Linked DNA regions of Astyanax mexicanus. The protein of the gene in region 2 interacts with the protein of the main gene of each other region in a pairwise test. Links are inferred from orthologs where the notes say so. Each region holds a gene or a part of one and is shown on either strand. Other genes may lie near its edges.

The links.
Region 1: the proteins of ctnna1 (region 2) and armc8 interact in a two-hybrid assay, tested with the Homo sapiens proteins (2 studies listed by BioGRID and IntAct). The link is inferred for Astyanax mexicanus from reciprocal best matches to the Homo sapiens genes CTNNA1 and ARMC8.

What each region holds. Positions count from the first base shown.
Region 1 is NC_064418.1:10,797,889-10,808,942, reverse strand, and holds the start of armc8 (armadillo repeat-containing protein 8), read right to left. Parts: upstream 4,967-11,054; 5' UTR 4,906-4,966; coding exon 4,861-4,905; intron 1,425-4,860; coding exon 1,348-1,424; intron 1-1,347. Other genes in the region: dbr1 (lariat debranching enzyme), read left to right, coding at 6,814-7,010, 7,103-7,227, 8,205-8,285, 8,381-8,466, 10,597-10,821, 10,970-11,047. UniProt on the Homo sapiens protein: Component of the CTLH E3 ubiquitin-protein ligase complex that selectively accepts ubiquitin from UBE2H and mediates ubiquitination and subsequent proteasomal degradation of the transcription factor HBP1.
Region 2 is NC_064409.1:75,354,341-75,365,887, reverse strand, and holds the start of ctnna1 (catenin alpha-1), read right to left. Parts: upstream 4,797-11,547; 5' UTR 4,521-4,796; intron 1-4,520. UniProt on the Homo sapiens protein: Associates with the cytoplasmic domain of a variety of cadherins. The association of catenins to cadherins produces a complex which is linked to the actin filament network, and which seems to be of primary importance for cadherins cell-adhesion properties.

The DNA.
Region 1 (11,054 bases), on a different chromosome or scaffold from region 2:
TATATATATATATATATATATATATATATATATATATATATATATATATATATATATATATATATATATATATATATATGTCCAGTATCATTGATTTTACTTTAATCCTGGATATATGAAGATATTTGGAGTGCATAATTAGTATGACATTCTGAATCATTTGCTTCTGTTACAATGTGGTGAAAATCCTAATTAGGGGTGAGCCATATCATATTGTATGCAATAATATTGGCAAATTAAATTTAATTGTGTGCACCCATTTACAAGTGAGCGTACGAGCAATCACACTAATCCAAAAAAAAAAAAAAAAAAAAAAAAAAAAAAACACTTTTGATGAGGCACTGTGTTTGTGTGGGGGTGTGGGTGTGGGTGTGTGTGCACCTTGAGTCAGGACCCTTAGCCATCCCTTCATACAAACATGCTTGCTTTTAGAACTAGACATAGCTTGATAGATGTACCCCAGCACAGCTGTGAGAGAAGCCCATGCAAATCTCAGATGGGCACGAGAAGCTCAGCTGCTCTCTGAGCGGGCGCACAGGCCAGTGGAAAAGTACTGTTGGGGCATTCAGGTAACGAGCACCCATACACCGTAACCAGAGCTCAGAGTTAAAAATAAAGATGAAATAAGCGGAGGATCCTTGCCACTAGACACACTAGTGCACACAAACGGAGAGCAAGAAAAAATTTACACAAACCATTAACCTCTTGAGACCCAGGAGAAAACAAGGGTTATGTAATGGCATTAGATTTTTTCATGATGATTTTTGTTACCAGGCCTTTTCATTTTATATTCTTCCAAATTTGAGCAGACCCATTAGTTTGCAACCCCCTAAATAATTTCCAAAAAACTTTAACAATTCTGAAAAAAAAAAAAATCACATTTCTGTCTGTCTGCTTCATCAGAATCGAAAATAAAAACAAAAAATACAAAAGTGAGGCAGTATGTTCTGTAGTCCAACAGAGGGGACACTGAATAAAAGATGTTTTGTAGGGATATTGATTATTTTTGCCATAAAATATGAAAGCTGTGATGGGCAGCATTTTAAAAAGCACGGCCCTGTGCTCTGTTGGCCACACCCCCACAATAGAGAACACAGATTTAAAAAATTGTGCTTAACTTAAAGGACAAAAATAATGGCCAGTTTCTGATTTCTGAGGATGTCACCATGCAACAGTGGGTACAGCAACTGAAAGCTGATTAAATAAACAAGAGCGCTCCTAAAAAAGAAACAACCAAAAGCAAATACAATCAAATTTTGAACACTGTCGAAACCGATGCAGCCACAGAACCTCAATACAGATCAAATAATGACTGGTGATACCATTGTTCCACAAACACATACTCACATGACTCCCTGCAGCACTTTCTGTGGGTCGGGGTCGAAGAGCCGGTCAACATAATGGCGACTGGTGGCTGTGACTTCCTGCATGGCCAGAAAGAGAGAAAACTTGTATGAAAAAGGTTCACATCCAGACAACAGAACCAAACAGCCCACAGACCCCAAACCTGTGGGGGAAAACACTAGCAAAGCCCCATTCAGCCCAATGTTAGCCTCCAGTCCACACATCTTAAGCTTTCCCAGACACGAGATGAGGTTCTGACATCCGATAAGTCTGTTTACACGGGGACACGGGTGGGATCAGCAGATGAAACTTACTCCACGGATCACTCTGGCCAGCTGAAGTTTTGTTTTCAGGATATACGTATGACGTCCTGAACACAGAGCAATATTTCGTGCTTAAATTTCCACCACAGACATGCTGACTAATCTAAACACTCACAATTCTCATGGACCTAAGGGCAGGACATTTAATTTAATGTCAATTAATTTGATTTAAATGGCATCCTGATGGTACTTAAATGGCCCAAAATAAATATTTTCCATGATATGGGCCAAAAATCTCATTGTGAGATCCTACATCCATCATAAATTAGTCTTTAGTTTGTTTAAAACAACCAGACCAACGGATCTACCTGTGAGGTATGTTACCCTATCCCTTCCTCCACCTTAAAACACCTAAACTCCCCTCCCTAACACACAATGCAAGTAAGACAATATAATTAGTTCAGTATAAGTATAAAACATGGAATCATACGTATAAAATATGAGGAGCCCAGGGGTTGTTGGGTAATTAATTAAATGATTAAACACAGCTGTCCTTAATATTATATCTTGTTAATTAAATCTTGTTAAAATAAATGTACGTTTACAGCATTTAGCCGATGCTATCATCCAGAGTGACTTACAAGATTATTTCTATTACACAGGTGGGCCAATGTAGTGTTAGGAGTCTTGTCCAGGGACTCTTATTGGTGTAGCACAGCCTCCAGTCACCCAGACCTGGAATTGAACCCGTGTCTCCACAACAGTAGCTCACTATCAGGCGGTCGGGTTATCCACTGCACCACACCACCCACCATGCCACATAAATGACATTTATGTGCTTCTGCTACCATTCCTGCAAAGCCAAATATATTATTCCTGAACACAGTGTGTCTGGTAGGTCCCCAGGTCTTCTTCGGGTTATAACAGCTATTCCTGGTTACCTGAGCAACTATGCTGCTGATAATGGTGCTGATACAAGAGCTAGCTGGTGACCTAAAGAAGAGGGCAAAGGAATCCTTGCTAGAATTATTTTAATAGTATTTTTTATCATGCTTGGTGCAATTACACACCCTTATCAAAAACTTGAAAAATGTCACTGCGTTTTTGCAACAAGTATAGAGTACAAAGAAGAGAGTATTTCAAAACATAAAAACAATATATAAAAACAATATAAGTATCTGTGAATATAATGTGCTTTTATGAACACACCACAAGGCAGTCAATCAAAAAACACATTTCCATAATGCACAAATTTTATTTTTTGTGTTTTTTATGCTTTGTGTTATTACAATCCCAGGTTTTGACTACTGTTTGACTTCTTAATTCAATTCAAGTATTAAATGCAGCTGTTTGGCCAAGGAAACCTATCCATTGACCCTGCTCTGCCTTTTTACGTGACCTGCCATTTGTGGTAGAGTTGCTGTCGTTTCCAGTCACTCCCACTTCGTTATATTATTACTGAAAATTGACTGCGGAATAGTTAGTACAGGGATTCACGCTACAGACCTCAATCGCTACAAACCTCCAAACATCATGTGGCCTTCAGATTAGCTCAAGAAGAGTTGAAAGTAGAGAGCTTCATGAAATGGGTTTACGTGGCTGAGCAGCTGAATTCAATGCACAATGAATTAAACAAACAGTAGTCAAACACTGAAAGTTTAATAACAAAAACATTATTTAAAAACAAAAAAACAAACAAAAAAAGACTAGTTATATGCGAATGCATTTTGGAAACCGACATTAGAGTCGACATATTTTAAACCGATGCTTGATGTATATATTGTATTTATTTTTACTAGTTTAAATAGATCTTTAGTTTTACTTAACCTGTTCTCCAGGTGAGGACCAGGTAGCGCTTTCATTTTATTGTTTGCATAAAGTTGGGTTACAAGCTTAAAAAGTACTGCCTAGCAAGCCTGGGTGTTAACGGCTATAAGAGCAAGTTGCTATTTGCTGCATGCATGAGTTTCACTTACAGCTCTGGAAACAAATAAGAGACAACTTTGCTATTTATAGGTATATGTTTTGAGTAAAATGAACTTTGTTTTACTCTATAAACTACAGACAACATTTTTCCCAAATTCCAAATAAACATACTGTCATTTAGAGCATTTAAAATAGCTGAAATAAAAAAAGATGCAGAGCTTTTATACATCAAATAATGCAAAGATATTCACAATATTCACAAAGTTTAAGAGTTCAGAAAACAATATTCGGTGGAATCAATTAATTATTTAATCACAGTTTTCATGCATCTTGGCATGTTCTTCTCCACCAGTCTTTCACACTGCTTTTCTTTTTTTTTTTTTTTTACTTTGTAACGGTGCTATTACTGGTGTAACAATGCGTAGATGCGTCCAAAGCCAAATCAGACATAACGTAAATAGTAAATTCACTTTAAATAAAATTTTATACTTTAACAGCTTTTGTAACTTACTTAAGTTTTTGAGTTGAAGCTGCTAATTTTTTGACAGTATAGAACTCAACAAGACGGGGGCGTTTCCAGCGGCTAGCATGAGTTAGCCAATTAGCTTGGCAGTTTGACATGGCTAGCTAGCTAAGCTAGAGTTAGCTTTATGGTTGAAGTTTCACACAAGGTTAGCTAACTAACTAATTAGCTACCTCTCTATTGGCACATAATCAAACCAACATACATCTGCTAGTTAGCTATCTAGCTATATATAGGTTAGACCTGCCAGGCTTGTTAGCTAAAGCTGACAGCCTGGGATTCAGTAAACACAGTAGGGCTAGCTTGGCTACGTTAGCCTTAGCAAGTTAGACAGATAGAGGTTGATTAGAGCTAGCTAGCCGAGCAAATACAGGGCTAAACAGCAGCCCAGAAAGTCACCCAACTTCAGTGGCAGCTAGCTAAAGCTCCGGGTGTTTAGCCAGCGTTCTAACTAAACCCGAAATTAAGCACCTTTTCCAGGCAATAGACTAATAAACAAGCGGGCTCGCTCTGCTGGATGGAGTTAAACCAGCTGTCGGGCAGTGCAGGGCGCTGCGGGGCTCTGCAGGTCGGCTAGCCGGAGCTAACCCCAGCTCTCCCGGCTCTGTAGCGCCGCCGGTGAGTGAGTTAACTCCGCCTGACCGACCCGATCCACCCGCGGTGCTCCGCACAAACACGCTCAACTAATGCACTGCACTTCAGACCAAACACCGCACTAGGTTCCACGGCTCCGGTTGCAGGTGTGAGCCGCGGGACACGCGAAAAACAGCGGGGTTAGAGGAAGATTTAGGGGCTCGGACTTACGGACAGCACGCTGATGCGCAGCGGGGCCTCCAGCAGACACGCCATCTCTCTGTGTCCGAACAGCCGGGGAACACGAGCGGCACTTTCCACACACACACACCTGAGAGAGAGAGAGAGCCAGTCAAAATTTGGACACACCTCTTCTCATAAATTTTGTTTTATCTAATTAACGCTAATCACACGAACATCCTGTGATTAGACACCATTAATTACATCCTATCTTCCTTAAGAAAAGATTACGCTTTTGATAAACTGTATTTTAAACAAGAATCACTTTTAGAAACATGAAACATTTATGTTATTGGTGCCAGTCCCTTTCTTGTATTGATCACAACAATATTCTGTGATTAAATCACAGATGAAATCATGATTACATATTTTTAATACTGGTAGAAAAATATATTATAATACGGTAAAACAAAAATCAGATTTTATGTCCCCTTCCTAAAATTCCTTAAGGCTTTCATTTTATGAAGGGTTCTTTTTTTACTGTATTACAATATCTCAGGGTAGTTTTGCTTTTTAAACTACACTATTGTAACGAGCCGAGTTGCTGAGTTTAACTGGGATTTTGAATATAGAAAATATACGCTAGTTTACATCCATATTTCACATTGAACAGCTTGAAAAGAGGAAACGTGCCATCAGCTCTGTGTGCATGACTACGCGAGTGAGTGTGTGTAGGGGTGTGAGAAGAGAGAGAGAGAGAGACAGAGAGAGAGAGAGAGAGAGAGAGAGAGAGAGAGAGAGAGAGAGAGAGAGAGAGAGAGAGAACATAATTAATCTACATATTAATCTGTAAAGTAATGAATAAACTACATAGTTCCACGTGTTCCTGTATAGATTTAACGTCTATATTAAATTTACTTGTGTGTGTGTGGTACTGTATATAGTTTAACTGAAGCTTTTAATCACTGTTTTTGCTTATTATTATTTTATGCTTTATGAATCATTTTATTTCTTTGGGAAAGTTTTGTTACTGATACAAATTTAAAGGAAAGAAAACATAAACCGCTATTTTACTAAATGGTGCGCTATACGTGACTTATATTTTTACGAAAATAATTTTTGCATAGTGGAAAGTGCTGGTGGCTGGCAAAACTGGTTTTACCATGTAAAGTACAGCGAGTGCGCATGCGTGGCCGGTGAATAATGGAGGGTAAGTTGGATCACTGAGAGGGAAATATTGTTAAAGCAGCGGTTTAACGACTAAAATACAGGTGAGACTACACACACAGCTTTTTTGTTTTGATGGAATAATGTCAGAAATGTTGTTTGTGTGCTTGCAGTTTTAATTTAGCTGTATAATCTTCCATTTCGTGCCGTGTCGTGGGCTTCTGTTTCGAATTGTCCGGTCCACCTTAAATACTGCAGCCTTTACTGCCTGGCGTCTGTTCAGGCGCCAATACGTTAGCTAATACGTAATAAGTAATTTAAGGTGGAACGGATAATTCCGTTTTGTTGCAGTTATTCAGCTAACGTTACCTGATGAGCAGCGTCTATCACTTCTTAAACCCTAAAACTGACAAGTTAAAATATGTGAATAACCTGCTGAAGAAAAAAAGATAATCAACTCAAACTGGTCAAGCTGGTTGACTAGCTTAGCTAGATTCTGACCAGTACAGGGTTATGATTTATGTTTTAGTTTGATGGTTAACAGGCTTGTGTGGTTGTTGGACGTTCCTCCAGAGTCTAACTACCATTCTACTTAAAATGCATTTCTATTGATTTTATGCTATATCTGTATCTGTCCAATGTGTCCATGTGAAAACCCCCACCATGTTTAACATATTGGACTAATGTGACCTTTGTCCTGTCAATAGGTTCACTGGTCTGGATATGCACGACTCAGAGTTCCTGGATTTAATAAGACTCTGTCTGAAGAAGCACTTTTTCCTGTGTTAGCAATATTTATTTTTTTAAAACAAAATCTGGACTTTAACATCTACGGATATGAAAATAGCTGTTGAAGGCTGCTGCCATGGCGAACTGGACAAGATATACGAGACCATCAGCCACCTGGAGCGCAAGGAAGGCCTCAAGGTGGACCTGCTGCTGTGCTGTGGGGACTTCCAGGCTGTGCGGAATGAGGGGGACATGAAGTGTATGGCCGTGCCGACCAAGTACAGGCAGATGCAAACTTTTTACAAGTAAGATTTTACGTAGATGATCGATCTACTGCAGCTGTGTATGCTGCTGCATTTTTTGTTTAATATTTTCTATCTCATTCGCACTGTAAAAGGTATTATTCTGGAGAGAAGAAAGCACCTGTCCTGACTATCTTCATCGGGGGAAACCATGAAGCTTCAAACCATTTACAGGAGCTTCCCTATGGAGGGTGGGTCGCCCCCAATATTTACTATTTGGGTAAGAGTTTGTGTCTGTATTGCTGTATTGCCTATAAAGTAAAGTGCTAAACATTATAATAGAATGTTCTTTTGTCTGAGATCATTTAATATCTTTGATTAGATTTGAAGTATTTATGTATTAATTATCTGAGTGTTTTTTTACTTTTAGAAATTAGAAAATGTTAAATAAAAGCATGGACAATAGTGGGAATATTATCCATGTTCCTGTTAGTATAATGTATAAAGTTAACCTTTTTGGACTAAGTTACCCTATTTGGACTAATTGTAAGTTGCCCTAATTGGGCTAAGTTGCCCTAATTGGGCTAAGTTGCCCTAATTGGGCTAAGTTGCCCTATTTGGACTAAGTTACCCTATTTGGACTACTTGTAAGTTGCCCTAATTGGGCTAAGTTGCCCTAATTGGGCTAAAGTTGCCCTAATTGGGCTAAAGTTGCCCTAATTGGGCTAAGTTGCCCTGATTGGGCTAAGTTGCCCTAATTGGGCTAAGTTGCCCTAATTGGGCTAAGTTGCCCTAATTGGGCTAAGTTGCCCTAATTGGGCTAAGTTGCCCTATTTGGACTAAGTTACCCTATTTGGACTACTTGTAAGTTGCCCTAATTGGGCTAAGTTGCCCTAATTGGGCTAAGTTGCCCTAATTGGGCTAAGTTGCCCTAATTGGGCTAAGTTGCCCTAATTGGGCTAAGTTGCCCTATTTGGGCTAAGTTGCCCTATTTGGGCTAAGTTGCCCTATTTGGGCTAAGTTGCCCTATTTGGATAGGATAAATTTTACCTAGTCATTGAGGTATTGTAATTTTAATTTTAGTTCACATATTTTTTGACATACACTGCAGTTTTCTATAATATAAAAAAGCTATTGTTAAGAGTTTTGTGGACGCTGAGAACTCAGTCATTGTTAGGTGATGTTATCAGATTCCAGTTTTTCTCTTAGATCTTTATTCCAGTGATTTAAAGTGGGGTTGTATTGCTTGTTTTGCAGGTTATGCTGGTGTTGTTCGCTACAAAGGAATACGGATTGGTGGTCTTTCTGGAATTTTCAAATCCCATGATTACAGAAAAGGTAATGGCAGAGCATACTCCACACATTTAAGTAAAGATATATGACATTGCATAAATTGGACATTTATACTGAACCTGCTCATTAATCTGTTTCAGGACACTTTGAGTTTCCACCTTACAACCAAGAGACCCTGCGCAGTGTCTACCACATCAGGAACAGTGATGTTTTTAAGCTCAAACAGGTGAGCCGGACTGTGCTGGAGGCTGAAAGGGGTTTGAATATGTACCTGTTTGTGTTGCTTAAATTGAGTAAGAATCTAAATTAAAACGTGACAATAAACTGTATGCCCATAATATTAATTATTAGGCTTTTAGCTGAATCAGAACAAAATTGACACATATGGCATATCTTCAAACACCAAATACAGAACACGTTTTTTTGTCCGCAGATTTTTTTTAAAAATTGGCCACTTTTTTGTTTGCTATTGTGCTTCAAAAACATTTATTTTTAACAGCAGGTTCAACATAAAAAAGTAAATTATTTTGTTGCTCAATATTTCATACAACCCTAATGATTATACTCTACCAGCCAAAAGTATCTTACATACCTTCTCAATCAGTGTTTTTATTTGTTTTATTAGTTTTTTTTTTTTTTTTTTTTTTTTTACATTGTAAATTAATACTAAAGTCATCCAGACAATGAAGGAACACACAATCAATCATGTAGTAACTTAAAAAGTGATAAACAAACCAAAATACTCTGTGAAGCATTTTTTGGGTGCTCCATTACTCCATGTGTTAGTGCTTCTCAAATGTGAAATTGACAGCAATAAATCCATAATCTCTGGTATTTGCTTATATAGAAGTATTTAATTTTCTTCAGTAACACATATGTTGTGAAGTATCGTAGAGAATTGTGGGCAACATATCTTGATGTGATATATTGTATCATGAGATTCCCTGTAATTCCCAGCCCTAGTATATATCCTAACTATACTTTCAAACATGGGGATCTCAGACAATGTGCTGTCATGGTTTAGATCATACCTCACTGGGCGCTCGTTCAAGGTGTCGTGGCAAGGACAGCTGTCCTCAGCCCACTCCCTATCCACTGGGGTTCCCCAGGGTTCGGTACTGGGTCCCCTTCTCTTCTCAATATACACTGCCTCTCTTGGTCAGGTTATCCACTCACATGGCTTTTCCTACCATTGCTTTGCTGATGACACCCAGCTATACCTGTCATTCTCACCTGAAGATAACTCAATCTCTGCACGGATATCGTCGTGTCTCTCTGACATATCCTCTTGGATGAAGGAGCATCACCTTCAATTAAATCTCTCAAAGACTGAACTTCTGGTCATACCAGCAAAACCATCTTTTCAACACAACCTCTCTATAAGCATCGACTCTCTCTCTCTCTCACCGACAAAGGTTGCTAGGAACCTGGGTGTTATGGTTGATGACCAGCTCTCCTTCACGCACCATGTGGCCTCGGTTGCCCGATCCTGCCGCTTCGCACTTTATAACATCAGGAAAATTAGACAGTTTCTGACGCAACAGGCCACCCAACTCCTGGTACAAGCAATCGTCATCTCACGCCTCGACTACTGCAATGCCCTGCTAACTGGCCTCCCGGCTTGCGTAGTAAAACCACTGCAAATGATCCAGAATGCAGCAGCACGTCTGGTCTTCAACCAACCAAAACGGGCACATGTCACCCCGCTGCTCATTGAGCTCCACTGGCTACCAGTTCAAAACTCTTACAATCGCCTACAAGGTGATGACAGAACAGGCTCCTTCCTACCTGCACTGATCACTCCTGAAGGCTTACGCTACCTCCCGGCCGCTGCGCTCCTCCAATGATCGTCGCCTCGCTTTGCCAAACACTCACACAAAGCAATCCAGACTGTTCTCATACAGAGTTCCCCAATGGTGGAACAAACTACCCTCCACTACCAGATCAGGAGAATCTCTCGCTATCTTTAATAAACTCCTGAAGACTGAGCTCTTCAAAGAGCACTTACTCTCCTAACATCTCTAACACACTAACTACTTCTAACCTCATTTCCTTCTTCCCCTCCTTCACTTCTCTATCCCTTTATTTCCCTTCGACCTCCTTTAAGCCCTATCTAAAAATGGGTTATCTAAATTCCTATTACTTTTGTACTTCACTATTGTAAGTCGCTTTGGACAAAAGCGTCTGCCAAATGAAATGTAACGTAACGTAATGTAATGTAATATATCAGCATATTGTGATACATTGTCATTTTAAATAATGTATCATGATTGTAGTATTTTTGCTAAATCGACGACCTCAGTTCTTCATTCTCCTTGTTTTGTGGACTGTATTCATTTCTCATGTGCTGCTTCAGATCCAGATGCCCATGGACGTGTTCATGACGCACGACTGGCCACGGGGCATCTACCACTATGGCAGCACAGAGGCGCTGCTGCGGAAGAAGCGGTTCTTGCGTGAGGAAGTAAACTCCGGAACGCTGGGCAGTCCAGCCGCCGCAGAGCTGCTCCACCACCTGCAGCCCAGCTATTGGTTCTCTGCACATCTGCACGTCAAATTCGCTGCCCTGATGCAGCACGAGGTACTGCAGCATCCATACAGCTGAAGCCTTTCGCACTGATAAGAGTGCTTGAATGAATAAGACAGTTTCTGCTGCTGATGGTAGAACATGCTGTACATGTGATGGTATGAATTAATTAATTTATGAATATCTCTGTATTTGTCTGTAGGCCAAAGGAAACGCTACTCCTAAAACCACCAAGTTCCTTTCTCTTGATAAATGTCTTCCCTATAGAGACTTTCTTCAGGTAAGAC
Region 2 (11,547 bases):
TTAGACCAGGAGGGAGAATTTGACCAGGCCAGTGACCATCAGTAACCTATGATTACTCATGGTCGTGATTAAGAGACACAGGAAGGGCTTGGTTTCCCCGTCCCTCACACTCAGATGGCAATTTAAACTATATTTATAACCTTTTTCATAACAATTTAAATATACCATAAAACACAACCAAATTTCCTGAGCTAAACAAAAGCTGAACATCCAGATAGATAACACCACTGATTTTAGGAATAACAAGCGCTGCTAAACAGACACAGGCAGCTAGCAAGCTGAAGTTAAGGATTTCACATATTGTTTGGTACTTTAGGATTTAAATGGCACACACTGTTTAAAAACAACATCTAGAAATACATGAATATGGGTTAAGAAGCTTATTAAAAAAAAGGTGTAAAATTAACTAATATAAAATACAATCAAATCAAAAACACAGGCAGTTAGCCAGCTAAAGTTAAAGAGTTATCCCAAATGTTAATACTTTTTGTTTTTTGGATTTAATGTGACATTTTTGAAAACAAGTGTTTTAACATCAAGGAATAAATATTCAATGGTTTGGAAACTTTAAAAATTAGTTTTTTTAATTTTAAATCTAAGTTAAGGTTTCTCCTATATGTAGGTACTTTTTGGGGATTTAACGTCAAAGATGTTTAAAAACAACCAGTTTAATGTCCAGGAATAAATATTTATGGGTTTGGAAGCTTTTAAAACTTGTTAATTTAAACAAAACAAGGAAAATCTAACCAAACAGCTAGTGAGCTAAAGTTAAGGATTTCTCCTATATTTTGGTACTTGTTTAGGAAATACTCACATATAATGAATTAAATGTATTTAATGCTTTAATAAAACAAACATCCAGGCATAACTATAGATGGGTTTGGGGGGCTTTAAAGTCGTTAATTTAAGCAACAAAAAGTGGAAAATCTAGACTAAGCCCGAGGCTGTAGGGAGGACATTAAACCTTTAAATAAAGTGATATTTGTAATGACTGTATTCGTTAGAAATTATGTAATTGTCAACTGGATGAATTAAACTGAACAGAAATTGAGTAGTAGCCTATTACTAATGGTTGTAACTGGCTAAGAGGCATGGGACATGTTTCTCCAAGTTTACCTGATATACATAAATATACTTTAAAGACAAAAACTCAAATAGCCTAACTTACTAGTTATCTAACTTTTATATCTATTCTCCCTCATTTTGGTATTTTATATTCAGGAATAAATATTAGTCGATTTGGAAGCTTTTAAACTTGTTAATTTACCAACAGTGAGGAAAATCTAACCAAACACAGGGAGCTAGCCAGCTAAAGTTAAGGATTTTGCCTTTATTTAGGTAATAATTTTGAATTTTAATAATTAATCATTTTAATAGATGGTTCAATGCTGGTTCAAAGGTTTAAGAACAACTGATTTAAAAGCTTCCAGAACTCTGTATTTATCCGTGGATGTTAAGTCATTAATTTAAGTAAAAAGGCAAAATAAATCGGAACTTAGCCCCAGGCTTTAGGGAGGAGTCCTAAATATCCCACCAGTTGTAGTCAGGGGGGTCAGCAGGGACAACATATAACCTAGCTAATCCTTAACAATAAACCTTTAATAAAGTCATATTTTTAAGTACTGTATTCGTTAGAAATTATGTAATTGTCAACTGGATTTACAAATTACATTCTGAGTAGTAACCATTACTCATGGATGTGATTGGTTAAGAGAAACGTGAAGGGCATTATAGACTCAAATGTATATGTTTCTTTAGGTTTATCTGATATATTAATATACTTTAAAGTCATAAAAAACTTGGATAACTTGCTAGTTCTTTAATTAAGCTATCCAAGTTGCCATCCAGCTACCTAGCTAATTAGCTTAGCTTAGCTTAACCAAGTAGCATTAGTTAAGGGAGTTTGGGAATGCCACATTTTGGTACTTTTCGAAAATGTAAATGCCACATTGTTTAAAAACAAATGTTTTAACATCCAATGATATTTCTAAGTCGGGAAGCTTTTAAAACTTGGTTATTTAAATCAAATAAGAAAAACCTGAACACACACAGGCAGGTTTGATATTAAATGTTATATTTGATGGTTTTAATAGATTGAATTGTTTAAGAACAAGAGTTTTAACATCTAGGGATAAATATACAGGGTTTTGGAAGCTTTTAAAAAGTTGTAAATTTAGGCAAAAGGGCAAAAAATCTAAAATTAGCCCCAAGCTTTAGGGAGGAGTCCCAAAAATCCCACTGGTTGTGGTCAGAGGGGTCAGTGGGGACAACACAGCCTAAGCTAGCTAGTTTCTTTACCTCAAACCTTATAGTAGTGATATTTTGTGTGTTTAATTTGACAATTAATGTATTTGTAAGAAGTTATTTAATTATCATTTGGACAAAATGTATTTTGAGTAATTAAACCGTAGCCTATTACTCATGGTTGTGACTGGCTAAGAGACACAGGAAGGGCATTATAGATTCAAATGAACATGTTTCTTTAAGTTTCTGAAATATAAATGTACTATAAAGACCAGAAAAAAAAACCTTTAAAAAGATAGCTTAACTAACTAATTAGTTATCCAAGTTGTTACCCAGCTAGCTAGCTTATTAGCCTAGCTTAACCAAGTGGAATTAGTTAAGGAAGTGTGGGAATGCTATAGAGTGCTAACCAAACACAGGGAGCTAGGCAGCTATAGTTAAGGATCTCTCTTATATTTTGGTATTGCTTAAAAACTACTGTTTCAACGTCCAGGAATGAATATTTATGGTTTATTAAGCTTTTAAAACGTAGTAATTTAACTAAGATGACGAAAACCTGAACAAAACACAGACAGCTAGCCAGCTAAAGTTTTTATTTGCCTATATTTAAGACTTATTTTGAAACTGAAGGTCATATTTATTGTTTTCATTGGTTTAAAACAACTGTTTTAAAATCCAGGGATAGATAGTTAGATGGTTTCGGAAGCTTTTGAAGTTTAGCTTAAATAAAATGAGGAAAAACTAACCAAACACAGGGAGCTAACCAGCTAAAGTTATTGATTTCTCCCATATTTTAGAACTTTTGAGATTTAATGTCACATATTGTTTGAAAACATCTGCTTTCACATCAAGAAATAAATAAATATGGGTTTAAAAGCTTATTTAAATGTGTCTATTTAACTAAAATGAAAGAATATAACCAAACACAAGCAGCTAGCCAGCTAAAGTCAGGGATTTCTCCCATATTTTGGTAAATAATATTTTTTTTAGGATTTAAAGTTACATTTAATGTTTTTAATGGATTTAATGGTTTAAAACAACAGTTTTAACATCCAGGGATAAATATATATGGTTAATGACGCTTTTAAAACTTAATTTAAAAGGAAAACCCAACCAAACACAAGCAGCTAGCCAGCTAAAGTTAAGGATTTTGCCTGTATTTAGGTACTTATTTTGAAATTAAATGTTATATTTAATGGTTTTGATGGATTTAATGGTTTAAAAACAACTGTTAACATCCAGATATAAATAAATATGAGTTTAAAAGCTTATTAAAAAGTGTAAATGTAACTAAAATGAAAGACTCTAACCAAACACAAGCAGCTAGCCTGCTAAAGTTAAGGATTTTGCATGTATTTAGGTACTTATTTTGAAATTAAATGTGATATTTAACGGTTTTAATGGATTTAAATGTTTTAAAAACCAGGGATAGATATTTAGATGGTTTTGGAAGCTTTTAAAGTTTAAGTTAGTTCAAATGAGGAAAAACTAACCAAACACAGGGAGCTAACCAGCTAACGTTATGGATTTCTCCCATATTTTAGAACTTTTGAGATTTTAAAAATCACATATTGTTTAAAAACAACTGTTTTAACATCCAGAAATAAATAAATATAGGTTCAAAAGCTTATTAAAATGTGTAGATTTAACTAAAATAAAAGAATCTAACTTAACCAAACACAAGCAGCTAGCGAGCTAAAGTATTTTTTTTTAGGATTTAAAGTTACATTTAATATTGTTAATGGATTCAATCGTTTAAAAACACCTGTTTTAACATCCAGGGATAACAATATATATGGTTAATGACGCTTTTAAAACTTAATTTAAATAAAACTAGGAAAACCCAAACAAACAAGCAGCTAGCCAGCTAAAGTTAAGGATTTTGCCTGTAAATAGGTAACGTTACTTATTTTGAAATTAAAATGTTATATTTATTGGTTTTAATGGATTTTATGGTTTAAAAACACCTGTTTTAACATCCAGGAATAAATATAGAGGATTTTTAAGCTTTTAAAAGTCGGTAATTTGTCTAAAAAGGCGGAAAACCTGCACTTAACCCCAGGCTTTAGGGAGGAGTCCATAACTCTCTCCTGAATGTTAGCTGAGTTAAGTTATCCCACAAGTTGGAAAACCGGAGCGCGAATTTTCACAAACTATCAACTTTCAGCTCCCTTTTTCCAGCTTTTTCACACAAACTTCATATAATACGAGCTTCACAATCAAATTAAAGCCAGTTAAAGCGAGGATTAGGCTGTAAAACAGTAAATTAAACTCACCGAAACACGATAAACACAAAGTTAAGTTGGGCGAAACCTCAAAATGGAGGAAGAGCGGTTAAAATTCCGGTGAAAGTTTTCCTCCCGCCGCTGATCCCGGTATTAAAGCTTTCTCCGGTGGGTGAAAAGCCCTGCACACGCACTCAGACCGCGGGTAAAAAGGCTGAAATGATCCTCAGCTGGTTTCCTCAGCAGATCCGCGCTATACACACTTTCTGAACGCCTCGCTTTTCTCCCTTTCAGGGCTGTTCTGGGTGGGAGCGGAGGGGGGGAGGAGCTGTTCCTGGAATGGCGGCAGTGACGCAGCAGGCGGAAGAGGGGGAGGGGGCTGTTCTCAGGTGAGGGCTGGGTGTGGCTGCAGGCTCGAGCTTCACCTTTACCGCTTTATTTACCTGTTAATCTTCTCTCACACACATTACACACAGGTTCAGATTACAGAACAACACATTAATCCCCCTCAGCTCTTAGATCTGCTGATTTATACCGGATACAGACCAGCACAGACTGCACACTCCAGCACTAGTAACTACAAAACTGCACATTTAGCTTAAATACCTCTATTTAACTGCTGAAAATACAAAATACATCTAGATTCTATTTATTTTACGTTATTAAGTGAATTGTACGAAGCCCCTAAGGCAGGGGTGTCCAAACTTTTTTTGTTGGGGGCTAGAAGGAGAAATATATTTGAAGTCACAGGCCACAGACTCTGTAATAAAACAAATAATGAAATATACCACTTTAAATAATACATTTTCCTGATTACTTTCATTTACACACCATTTAACTTGACTTACTATCTTTATCTTTGACAGTGTTGTGTAAACTAAGATTTTTCAAATTGATGTTTAATTTCATGATGTCTCTTAATATTAAACTCCCTTAATTACGGCAACCTTTAGACTATTTGGCCCATTTTTTCTGCGCTACAACTGCTTTTTTTTCTCACATTATAAAAACCTGCTTAACAGCGGGCCAACGTTCATTCTATTTCTAAAATACCTTGCGGGCCGCTCCAAAAAAGGAAACGGGCCGCAAATGGCCCACGGGCCGTAGTTTGGACACCCCTGCCCTAAGGTGACATTATGTAAAAAAAATAGATGTGTGCTATCATAAATCATCATAAATCATTAAGAGATTAAAATAAAAATAAACCAGTTTACTCTCTATTTTCTTACTAAAGATTATCTTTGGATTAAAGGAGCTTTGATATAATATTCAGTTTTTTCATGAGCATTAATTTACAGAAAAGCCAGCTTTATTTTTCTTGGCTAGATTAAATTAACTTGTTCCCACGCCTTAATAAGTCGTGGCCACGCCTTAATAATCTCGTTCCCATGCTTTAATTATCTCGTTCCCATGCCAAATTATTTTATTCCCACGCCTTAGGATCTCGTTCCCACACATTTTTTTTTTACATAATGTCACGTTAGGGGCTCCATAGGGGGGAATTGCTATTTCGTTGATTTTAGATACTAAGTAATTTGCTTGAGATACCTTTAGTCATTGGGCCATTCCACCAAATGGGTGCCATTTCTGTCTTTTTCTGTCTCCAGTAAAGTACATGTTTAAATGTGCACACAAAATAACTTTAAAATACAGTTTATTATTAAGCATAGTATCTTGTACATTACCCAATTGCAAAAGTAAGATATGCAATTAAAAACATTAATAAAAACTACTTAGAACACTGAAAAAATAGCATTTGTTATTTGCCCCCACTGTCTGACTATAAACTTTACCATGAAATATATATATATTTTTTTTTGCATTGTTGTGTGACTTTAAATCCCATCTATGCTTTAAAAATATGTTTTTCATAATTAATTCATAATATTTAAAGGTCCCATTCTACCGTTTTTTTAAATCATTTTAAAACATATCCTTGTGGTCTCTAGTATAAATGAATGCTTTGTGTTTTTTTTTTTTTTTTTAAGTGCTCCGGTGTTTTTATTTAGCCCTGCTTTAGATCACTGAATTACTGGTCTCTAAAGAAAGTCATGATTTGGTTCTTGCTATTTATATGCAAATATATCACTGATTGACATTTTACATCTCTCTGATCAACTTGTACTTCTGAGGATTTTCTTTCACAAACTACTGCAGACAAGGGAGCCTAAGAATCAGTTTCATGTGCAGCATCATATACAATTCATAGAGACCTACAGTATTTCACAAAGAACAAGAAAAGATATATTTCAGCGGAAAGAGACCTTTACGTCAAAAAACACACTTTAGTTGTGTCCCTGGTTTTCACTCGGTTCTGTTACCGTAACACATTACCCCATCTGGACAATCTGGAACATTCTACAAGTCACATCTAGAACAGGAAGTGACATCAGCTGGTTCTTCTGAAGATCATGGGAAGACAAAAATTAAGTTCAACTCATTAGTTTTTATGTACATTTGATTTGAAACTCATTCCTGTTACTTTCTTTCCTGTTACTCATAACATAAAAACTAACACTAAAATGAGTGCCACTAAAAGGAGGTAGTTCCAGTAACAGGACTGAGTGCCTTTAGCAGGAGTGATATTTTTTCATGGGCATTAATTTACAGAAAAGCCAGCTTTATTATTCTCGGCTAGATTAAATTAACTTGTTCCCACGCCTTAATAAGTCGTGGCCACGCTTTAATAATCTCGTTCCCATGCCTTAATTATCTTGTTCCCATGCCAAATTATTTTCTTCCACGCCTTAGGATCTCGTTCCCACATTTTTTTTTTACATAATGTCACGTTAGGGGCTCCATAGGGGGAATTGCTATCTCGTTACTTTTAGAAACTAAGTAATTTGTTTGAGATGAATGCTAGTCATTGGGCCATTCTCCAGTAAATGACATATATAAATAAAGATAAAGATAAAAATAAAGAGTCAAGAGTCATAAGTCATTTAGACAAGATTTTCCATTATTTTTGAGATCTTCTTAATGTTCTCAATATTTAGAAATTATTTCTGAATATTTTGAGATGTTGTTTCATTACTTTGAGACACAATCTGGTTATTTTAAATACAAAGTCAGAGATATCTGGTCATGATGTGGAAATATCTTGTTGAAATTTTGTGGTAATTTTTCTTCTCTTTTACGATTTTATTTAGGGACGCTCGATGTAGGAATTCTTGGCTGATGCTAATCCTTGATATTATACATGTACTACTAGTGCATCTCAAAAAATTAGAATATCATTGAAAAGTTACTTTATTTCAGTAATTCAGTAAACTCATTATATAGATGTATTACACACAGATTGATCTATTTTAAGCATTTATTAGTGTGATTGCAGTATGCAATCACAGTATTGTTCTTCTTAAGTCTTATTCTTCTTCTTATTATTATTATTCCACCTGTTTTTTGTCCGGTTAACTAGTGCCGCAGTTTTCGAGATATCGACTTCGTTCAAAAGACAAAACGTGCGTCCTTATCGGGAATGGTGGGCTTGTATACAGCTTTCCGATCGAAGTGTGCGCTTTTTTGCCCATTGAAAATGAATGGGCAGAACTTTGCACGGCCGTGTACGTCACAATTTTTGAGATACGAAGATGAAACCAATTGAGGACCTGTAGAACTTATTGAGCTCTTTCCGAAAATATGCGTCACGAAACGTTACGACATACGAATTTCGTACGATTGTCGTACGAAGTGGCCCCATAGGAATGAATGGGGCCATCGGAGGATGGCAGCTAGATCGAAGGACGGCAGCTAGAACTCCAGTACTGTGTGTAATGGAGCCACGGGTCAAAAGTTTGGGTACCCCGGCCAGCACTGCAATCACACTCGCAGTTTCTGTAGGAACTGCAATCTAGTTTCTTTTATTGTTGATTATTTTGGCTTACAGCCAATAAAAACTCAAAAATCAGTGTCTCAGAAAATTAGAATATTATATAAGATCAATTGGTACTTTTGTCAGTGTGGGCAGTGTGCCAAGTCCTGCTGGAAAATCCACATCTCCATAAAAGTTGTCAGCCGAGGGAAGCATGAAGTGCTTTTCCATTTTTTTAAAAATGATATAATGCATATTGTCTTCATATCTAGCTTAAAGAGGTAAAGCTGAAGCTGTTCACCCTGTCAAATAATAAAAATATGAAAATATCACAGTAATTAAAATAAAGAAAGAAAGTCAAAATGTAATTTTGAAACAGAACAAGAACAGTCACCATGAACAATTCAACATTTCTGCAAATTTAGGTCAAACATGTTTTCATTAAATGCCCGTTTTTACTAAAATCGTTTATTCTCTCAGACAGTTTGCCATAGAAGGGTGGACACATGCATGACGGGTTTAAATAATAAGTGAAAATAAAGAGTAATTATGATGGAACATACATACATTTCTGTGTAGTCTATATTCTTATACATGTGATAATTATATCAAAAGAATAAAAATATACCCCTATATGAGTTTACCCTTTTAGTACACATGGATACAAGATAATGCAAATGTTTATCATCATCATTATAATTCCCAACACATAACTAATGCAAAAAGTCATGTTTTTTCCTTCCATTTCAAGCTGTTTTATTTCTGTTAGGTTAAAGCTTAAGCTGTTTTAACGGCTAGTCTTAACCCAGCCAGATCATTACTGTTATTTAAATATGTCTTGAGTGTCGTGTTCATTTACATAGCGCTCAGCAGAGCAGACACACTCCCCCGCTGCTGGGCAGCCATTCAGACGCTCGCAGTGCTGCGTTAGACTTGGCCTAGAATGGCACTCTTATTAAGGTTAGATTTCACGCCAACCTATCTATCACATCTACCTCCTCCTCCTCCAGCATGAATCCCTCTTTCCTTCAGTTCCAGACTACAGAATGTGGACAGCCCAAGCTCTTGGCATGTTCTTTTATATTCTCTCTCTCTCACACACACACACTCACACACTCATCCAGAGGGCTAATGTATAAAATATAATGTACTTCTGTACTTCGGTTCAAATGTTACAATGTTCTCCAAGCCCTGCAAGCCTCAACCTCCTCCACTGTCATGAAAACGTCTCAGTCAGGAGCTCGGCCAAATATCTGAGCTGAGCTCCTACCACTGTACAGCTCACTCTCACGCAGTGTACAAACTTAAATCAGGAAAAAAGTTGGGACAGTATGGTAAATGCAGTGATCTTTGTTGAAAAATGCTCTTGAAGCCAACATACAGCACTAGTGCATCTCCAAAAAATAGGATGTCATCCAAATGTTACTTTATTTCAGTAAATCAGTTTAAAATGTGAAACTCATATACTGTATTATATAGATGTATTAAACACAAAGTGATCTGTTTTAAGCGTTTATTTATTTTATTGTTTATGATTATGAAGCTTACAGCCAATGAAAAACCAAAAGTCAGTGTTTCAGAAAATGAGAATATTATATAAGAACAATTGGTACTTTTGGCAGTGGGGGCAGTGTGCCAAGTCCTGCTGGAAAATGAAATCTGCATCTCCATAAAAGTTGTCAGTAGCAGAGGGAAGCAGCATGAAGTGCTGTAAGATTTTGTGGGAAAACAAAACTGCACTGACTTTAGACTTGATAATAAAACACAGTGGATCAACACCAGCAGATGACATGTCTCTCCAAACCATCACTGATTGGTGGAAACTTCACACTTCAAGTCCAAAGTCAGTGCAGTGTTTTCCCAGACCATCTAACACTCTTTGCTCGGTATTGTTCTTGTGAGTGTTTATCCTTTTCTTATGCCTTTTTTTGTTATAACCCTTTTTCGTCTTCGGTTTACTGTCTTTATTTTGCTGATTTTTTTGTAGTTCTTGGTGTTAACCTCTGCCTGAATCTCATTTACTCCTTTGGATCTTCCCTTGTGTAATGTTTTGCCTTGGATCTTACTGACCTGGACTGTTTTCTGCATTTCTCTTTTGAGCTGACCTTTTTCTAAGAAACCCTATTGGTTGTTTTTTTTTTTTTTTATCTACGAGCATCTGATTCACTCCCTGATTGTTACATTACCTTTTTGAAGAATTAATGTTTTGTGTTGACCTGCAACTGTAAAATGCAATTGATCATAATATAGGCACTTTCAAGGCATCATTTAAAATTAGTATATACACAGGATTTGTACATGTTTTTGCATAGTAATCATTATATTTAGGTTCTAGAAATTGAGACAAGTTGTTTTACTGTCGCATTAGGGTATTTTTTTTGGCTTAGTTCTGGTAGTATTCTCAGTTTAAGAGCCACTAAACCCTAAACCATATTATTTTAATTAATAGCTAAAATGTGTTCCTTTAAAGTAATGAAACATACCAGTCCTGCTTATAATTTTTATAAACCTTTCCTAACCTTTAAAAAAAACGCTTTTATTTTGGTTATTTTCCTCCTCTGCAGCGCCCTCTCAGGTTTAACTGTGCTATAGACTTGGCTGATGTTTGCGTGTACTTTGGTGCACAGACAAATCACAATATGCAAATCAGTCTCAATAATACCCCACCGCCCCCTCTTGCTGACGTCCAACCATCTGCGTCTCACCACTATCAAAGGCACACTGCTGCTGCTGCAGCTCAGCCAATCAATCTTTCCCTCTTGCCCTGCCCCTAAACCCATACATCACCCAGTGCCCCTCCCATTTTTTAATTTTTTGTCATTTTGAAATTTGAGCTGAGGGTGGAGTCAGCTAAAATCAGAGGTTTTAGTGACTTTATTAGCTCTGGATTAGAGTGTCTGCTAAATGTTATAAATGAAAATGTCTAAAAACAACTCTTCATATAAAATTATACATAGGCTCTCTGATGAGCTTCCCTGATTGAGGTTGAGTAGAAGCAGCTCAGAGATGTGCAGTGAACTGCCGTTAAACTCTGACCTCTAGTTTGACTCAAAATTACAAGCTTTGCTGGACTGTAGATCTCAGTAATAATCACATATCTTTATACTGACACCCAACACAGCATTAGCCCTGCAGCTGCTCATCCTGACAGTGCAGAGAATACGACCCGGCTGCTTCCTGTTTTGGATCAGAGGTGAAGTTCCTGATACTGTGACTCTGCCGCTTCATTTACCATAAAGCTTATTAACAAGCTGAACGCAAAGTGAG